Coturnix japonica: one gene and its partner. The main gene of each other region encodes a partner of the protein of the gene in region 2 in a complex. Links are inferred from orthologs where the notes say so. Each region holds a gene or a part of one and is shown on either strand. Other genes may lie near its edges.

The links. Proteins that work in one complex are often made in the same cells at the same time.
Region 1: the proteins of PER2 (region 2) and CRY2 are in contact, whole or in part, in a crystal structure (PDB 4U8H), measured with the Mus musculus proteins. The link is inferred for Coturnix japonica from reciprocal best matches to the Homo sapiens genes PER2 and CRY2. Residues at the interface, in NP_035196.2 of Mus musculus: Tyr1132, Leu1134, Gln1135, Asp1136, Pro1137, Trp1139, Leu1140, Met1142, Ala1143, Asn1144, Thr1145, Ile1149, Met1150, Met1151, Thr1152, Tyr1153, Gln1154, Leu1155, Arg1158, Asp1159, Leu1160, Val1163, Leu1164, Asp1167, Gln1168, Lys1170, Leu1171, Leu1174, Gln1175, Ser1177; in NP_034093.1 of Mus musculus: Trp58, Ser63, Ser64, Val65, Lys163, Leu166, Thr167, Lys169, Arg170, Glu215, Leu216, Gly217, Phe218, Asn330, Pro331, Ile332, Cys333, Ile334, Gln335, Ile336, Pro337, Asp339, Asn341, Pro342, Glu343, Leu345, Ala346, Lys347, Ala349, Glu350.

What each region holds. Positions count from the first base shown.
Region 1 is NC_029520.1:21,417,878-21,421,528, forward strand, and holds part of CRY2 (cryptochrome-2), read right to left. Parts: intron 1,568-3,651; coding exon 1,425-1,567; intron 1-1,424. UniProt on the Homo sapiens protein: Transcriptional repressor which forms a core component of the circadian clock.
Region 2 is NC_029524.1:4,261,568-4,265,218, forward strand, and holds part of PER2 (period circadian protein homolog 2), read right to left. Parts: intron 2,490-3,651; coding exon 1,639-2,489; intron 1-1,638. UniProt on the Homo sapiens protein: Transcriptional repressor which forms a core component of the circadian clock.

The DNA.
Region 1 (3,651 bases), on a different chromosome or scaffold from region 2:
CCACATAGTGAGGAGGCAAGAAAGTGAGCATGAAGTGAGATTTGAAAAGCACTTCAGGGCATCAGAGGGACTACTGAACAGAAAGCTTGATCTGGTGGGCAGATTAGTAGAAAATACTAATAGGACCGGTGAACAAATGGCTATGTACAATATGCTGGAGGGTTAAACTGGCCTTGGTAATGGGAAGTTGTAATGTCTATTAGCCATATTAATCTCAGGAGCAGGGCATATCTGGCTAACAGATTCCACCAGGAGTTTTGGAAGGCACCTGATAAGATTCTCACAAACATCAGCCCAATGACAGTCAGAAAAGCAAACTAACAAAAACACTGGTGACTGTTGAAAGAAGGATATTACAGCACTAAGTGAATGCGTGTTGCTCCTACACCTTGAACACCAGCTACAGTTCTTCACCCTCCATATCACCCCATAAGCACACAGAAATACAAAGTAAGACAACAAAAAAGATATCAGAACAGCTGCAGAACAGACTTCAACTGAAAATGTAAATAAGCTAAGACTCTCCAAGTGGGAAAAGACAAGGAGGACAGAATTAAGGGTGTGAGGGGTGCTGAAGAAGTGAGGATAAATTAAGTGTTCATAGCATCTTCTAATGCAAGAAAGGTAGAGAGGAGTTCCTCCTTATGAGAGAGGTGAAGAACTCCCCTACCCCACGTGTAAACATTTCCACATAGCACATGCTAAACTGCAGTGCTCTTTCACACAGGAAGTTACATATACTAAAGATTTAAAGGAGAAAAACTACAATCAACATTACTGATACGAGTCATCTGAAGGAAAAAAAGAAAAGGAAACCAGCCTATAAGAATAACACTGAAACATGGTTCAAGTCAAGCATATTGTATAGTCGTAGCTGAAAAACTGTCTTAAGCCAACCTTACCTACATATAAATAAACCAACCTCAAGATATAGGAAAGACTTTGCCATAACAAATGCACAATAAAGACAAGGCCTTCAGATTTTAGAAGAAGGTAAGTTTGCCCCAATCTACCTTGTTCTACTTCTTCCAGTTGTCCTGGCACATCCATCTGTTAAAGCCCTGCCTTTATTGTCTCTGTTTGAGACAGTAACTCGGACACCTTTAATACAGTGAAGTAAAAAAAAGCAGTCCACACAGACAGGTCATGCCCAAGAAAATCAATCAATAGGACATAGCGGAGCAACTTAAATGACAGTAAAGTACAGATTAGTTAGCCTGAGGCAACACCTTTCTATACATTCACGTCACTGTCTGCATATTGACGCACTCTAATCAAAAGCTGGAGTGCGCAGAGTAATCCTGGTGACACCTCCCAAGCTCACAAGGGATGACAGAGATCAACATACAGTAATCGAAGTAAATGAGGAGACCGAGGTCTTCCCAGCCACAGCAATCCCAGCTGAGGCAGCACTTTGCCCTTACCTGTCCAGGTCGTAGAGCGTGTGGGAGTTCTCAATGACCACTTCCACACCAGCCTCCTTGGCCAGTTTGATAATAGCTGCATCTCTCTCCTTGCCAAATGGTTCCGAGTCGTATTCAAAGGTGAGACGAGTGACTCCCCATTCCTGTAAGAAATAATACAAGCAGGTGCCAAAAAGAAAACCTTTTTAACCAGCACTATTACTAAATCATTGAAGTTGTAATTGCTACTGTCAGCTCCTGGGAACTTAGGGAAGCTTCCTGTGGAGAACAGCAGTCTGTCATTGGGGTAACGGAAGAACCAATAATTTTATCAGCTCTGGCAAATGCTGTGCAAATTCCTAAAAGCTGGATTTGAACCACACGAAAGGAGGCTGGAGTTCTTCTCTATTTATGTTCTTAGCTTACAACTTGACCTAACACCACCTTGTTTGGTTGTATCCAAAAGAAACCCTGCCATCCCATTCCAGTATTTGCAAAAAGAGGATTTCAGAGAAATCTTTCAATGTAAAAATATAAACTTCTGAGCAAGGATTGCATGCAGACTACTATCAACTAAAGAGAATACACTTAATTCTTTTCCCATGTCTCCCTATAAAGCCATTGTACAATAGAAGACCACTGCCCAAGCCAAAAGCAAGAAATGTGGTATTGGGAAAAGGACAAACTTAGCAGACATCTCTGCTCCAAAAAGTAATGTATGATACTACAATTCAGATTGAAATGATTAACTCTCCAAAGGTAGAACTTCTATTCAGCCTAGCGGATCCATAAATCCATTTTTTATCTCACACCTGCAGCAGATCTCTCACAAAGGCCTTATGAAATAGCTCTCTGCCTCTTCCAGGCTTTGGCACTGCATAGTTTCCTCTCAAAGACTATGGCCTAGTTTTCCTCAGAAAATGAATCCTATGAGAAGAGGCTTAATGGTTTCCACAGTGACCCTCAGGAGGCATCCATCAAACAGAGCAGCAGCCCACAGATTTGTTTAGCAAACACTCCAGTCAAACACAGCCAGAAATCTATAGAGACACTTAAAAAAACCTGCACACAAGCAAGATGTGAACCAGTCTCCAAGTGAGACAGTGAGTCACTTCTGTAAGCACAGGATGGTCTCTTCCATCTCAGAACCAGACCTAAGAGGCATCAGAAACACAAGCACTGCACAAGGAACAGACATTATTAGTTCATTAATGATCATTTAAAAACAAAGACTCAAGACTGGGATGGGAGTTTAGAAGCAGAAAACAACCATATAAGCTTGCCTTGAATCGTAAAATTACTATTAGGAAGGAAAGAGAACTACAACACGTATGTACCACAGCAGGTGACAAAAATCCTATATTACTATGAAGTTTAAAGCAGAGCTAATGTGTACACTTCATCTGCCTGCCTCACTGTACCCATGCACACAGTGCCACTGCAGCAACTGTTACCAACAACACAGCTCAGCTCCCAGCAGCAAGAGCAGAAATTAATTGGACGTAAGTGCTGCATTACCACATGTGTCAGCTCCTCACAACAGCTGAGAGCAAAGCACAAGCTGCTGCCATTCATTTATCCAGTATTTGCTGCTCAGTTTATCAGCTCAGGAGAGGCCTGAATTCCCACGAAAGCCACACATTTACCTTGTAGTAGAATGAAAAAGAAAACAAAAAACCCACCAACTCTGTTAAGAGCACATGTAAGATATCCACTGAACTGCCTGCCCAGTCAGAAGAGATTGTACCAACCCCCAGGCCTGGCTGATCTCACAACCATATGTCCAAACCTCAGACCCTACTGACTACTTCTTTGTTTCTTTGATCAGAATGGGTATATTTCTCCCACACAGTTTCACTTATCTTGCAAGTACCCAGTCCTTGAACTAAAATAAGGAGGGCATGGGCTACTAATAGCTTAGACTTGTTTGCAGATCAAAAGATAAAAATAACAAAGTCTCTAAAAAGGCTGAAAGAAGCACATAAGTTTTGTCACGTGCTAACCTGCAGAAGCCAAAATAAACACTGGTGCACTTTCTGATCTGCATACACTATTCCCCTCCCCAAGACTGCGCTCCTCCCACAAATATACATCAGGATAACATACAGCAGGAGGGTGCTGACTCAAGTTTACCTTTTCTTTTCTGCAGCTGGGTCACAGCAGGCTTTGGGGGCACTACTTCTGTCAACCATCCCTAAAGTACAATCTATATGACAAACACAGCTTATAAGACCATGGTGAACCCTGT
Region 2 (3,651 bases):
GTTCAAACAAGTGATGATGAAATTACAGAAAGTAATATTTTGCAGGTTTCCGAACAATGGGAAATAGCCTCCTGAGAGAATTCCAAAGGATTTCCCGTCAAAATTGTTGGTATTTTTTGTTATCAAGCTTACTTTAATCCAGTAGCAACATTTCAGAGCACGCAGTAAGTCTCAGACCATCACAGATGCACTTCTTTACCATGCACAAATCTAAGGTGCTTTATTTATGTACATATATACATTAAATATAATGTGTGTATATTATATACACATACACTTGTTCTCAAGATCATGAGACACCAAGCGTGCCACAACAGAATACAGTAAGCTTTTGCATAATGTCAATAAAGTTTGGAAGTTTCACTAGAAAGGCAGATATATTATATTCCTTTCTGCTCCCCCTCTGATCATCCCCCTTAAGAATCAATATCAAGATTATTAGGTAAAATAAATCATCTGGAAACTGAGCAACTAAGTTTGTCAGAGTGAGGAGCAAGCATGTTTGTACGTTTTACCTTCCACCTCCACAGTTTCTAATGTCGGCACATGCCCACGACAAACTATATAACAAAGTCATTTAATCAGCTGTTGGCATCAGCACTAATTGCGCTCTATGACTGATTACTTGGAGCATGTTTGATCTCACATGCCAGTAAGAGCCACACCTTCCAATGTCTGCTTTCCTTTGAACAGCATGGAACTCAAATTGTACTCTGTATACGCTGTCAGTTATAGTGAACAGTTACAGCCCACATAAGAAGAAAAGCAGGAGGTAGGAGGACATTCTAGAAGACTTAGGTTGCATCCCATCAGTGACTCAGCATTCGGAAAGACACTATGCAGAATCCTTATGCAACAGTAATGTAACAGTCTATACCATCATCATAGAAATCCTTAGACACAGCACTCCACCTGAGGTTTGTCAGATTATTAGTTTAATTGATCCAACAAATCTAAATGAGCCAGGAAAAGAAGCTGACATTATCACATAGCTCTGTACGGAGCTTTAGGGCACAGTGCACCAAGAAAAATAAACAGTGTCCGCAGGCAATACCTCATACTTTGTTTGCAAACAAGTAGTCAAAATAAAAAGATAATTTCCTTTATATCAGCTTCTTTCAAGACCTCAGTTACAGGTTGCATCTCCCTCACTCCCTTCTCAGAAATTTACTACCCAAAAAGTTTTTGCTAAACATTAAAAAAAAGTGAACAAATGATTTACAATCTATTTCAGTGCTTCTCAATGAATGCATTAGCACTCACATTAAAAGCTGCATAACAAAACTAATTCGGGATTCATTTTCAAGTTTCCTGGGGTAACTTCAGGAGAACAATAAGGCTGCCTTCAACTTTAAAAGTTAGCATTATTCAAACAATTTGATTCCACATTTATACAGTCTACCAAAACCTGAGTTTACTAACTGCAATAGTGACTCCGTCTCTAGAGACTGCAGACCAGATATTAAAATTTAAGGTCCACAAGAGAGTTTTGAAAATGATAAAGTAGAGACAAGAAAACAGAAGAGGGAAAAAGACCCACTATGGGTATCTCTACATTTTAACACCTTAAATATTCTTAGAGTGCCAAGATTTTAAATGGAAAACACACATACCCAAGAAGAACACAAACATACTTACTGGTAGGGATCCCTTTCCACTACCATCATCAGTTGTCATGATTTTGTTTATGGCTCCTTCCTCATTTAAAGCTCCGTGCAAACCCGCAGGAGCTCCACTTTCCACAGTTTTTGTGTTTTCTTCTAACTGTAGAAGATTCAGAGGAGAACTACACCTTGACTGGAATAAAGGCGGCGAAGCCTGGTCTTGAGGACCCACTGACTGTGGAGTGCAGGAACGGGATGGCTCATTTCGTGTCTCTGTGACAGGAATCTTTTCAATTTCTGCTGGTGGATTATAATGGAATGGTTGCGTTGGAAAAAACGCCTGTTGTGGGAAAGGGCTGGGGGTAGTGAAAGGAGGCTGCGCTGGAAATACTGTCTGTGAAGGGAAAGCAGGATGGGTAGGAAAATTGGCTTGGCTGTGGTAAAGTGTTTGAGGTAAGCTATTGTTCATTTCTGGGTAGACATAGTTGGGGAGCACAAGAGCTACAACAGGCGTCATGAGGGGGGCAGAAAACTGGGACGGTTGCATAGGGCAAGTATTTCCCGAGTCTGGCAGCTGATTAAATCCAGAGACTGAAGTCTCAGGAGCTGGTGGCACAGTCCCTGCTGCTGCTGGAAAAACAGGAAGTGGATATGCAGGCATAACAGTTGGAAAAGACATCGCTGAATAGCTTGCTTGTGAAGTGTCTGATGGTGACCAAGCAGTAGTATTTAAACCCTGAAGAGGAAAGCGATGGGGGAATTTAGTTCCAGAAGTTGTACTGTCTGAAGACTCCTGTGGTTTAATGCGCTTTGATTTCCTGTTTTTCCCACTTTTCTTCCAAGGTTGATCCATCCCAGAAGTTCCATTTCGTTGTCCACGGCCACCTGCAAAAACAGAATCAATGACCAAATAATAAAAAAAACCAAGAACAAAGAAGAAAACACGCACCAGGAAGGAGCCTACTGGCAATGTGATGGATCCCCTACACTCTGGCACTCCTAGAAGTTGCTCAAAACAGTGGTTCTGGACTTTAGTCTGTCCACTCAAATGGAAGGATGGGGAAAGAGATCAGATTCACTTTTACCTCTAGCAAAATAGCTGAGCAGAGTAGGCAAGGTAAACCATGCTGACATGACTTAGGGGAAGAAAAATAAACAATAAAAAAAAGAAGTGGATAGATAAAGGCTCAGTGTGTCACCCAGTCAGTACAATGGTACAAAATAGTGGCTTCCAGAGGAGCTGCTCTAACCACTACAGCAATTACAATGAAAGCAGTAGAAGACACAACTGAAAGCACTTCTGGAGAGTTAGGGCCGTACAGGTCTGTAAATGAAAAGGTAAAGAAATAAAAGCAGCAAAGAAGAGAAAGTACACAAAAGAATTTTCTTTTGGAAGTGGAAAGAGCATTGAAACTTCATAAATTCTGCAAGAAAAGCATGTAACCTTAGTTTAGAAGTGAGCACCAACCAGCTCTTCTTTAGGTGAAGGCTATCAGTTCATCTCATTTACAGACATGAATAAATCCATCCGTCATCTTTCATATTTAAGTACTTAAATATTTCAAAGCTGTCCCAACTTTGAGTTTGCGTAAGGCTTATTTAGTCTGGAAAGTTTATCAAGGATAGAGAACACAGAGCACTTTAGTGTTCCAGAACATGTTTCCTAAACCAAGGACCTGCATATCTCTAAATATATCAAAAATGAAAGATAAAAGAATTGGCAAGAAAATGCTTCTCAGTATCTGAATTTTCTTCCAAACAGAACCAAAATGGAAACAAAGTCAGGTCAGTACCAAGAACATCTGAAACGTCAACTTGAGTTCCTATCCCTAACAAAACAAAACAACTCACTGCTACAGATAGCCTAATTTGCTTCCATCCCCCACTGACATTAACTTAATGGCAACCAAATAATCAGATTGTTTCACCAACAAGATAATAGTGAAATGGTAGTAACTGGCTGTAAATGAAAGAAGCTGGAAAAAAGCACTGAAAGATGGAAAGGCAGAAGGAACAGAAAAGCAAGAGAATACAAGAACATACAGGA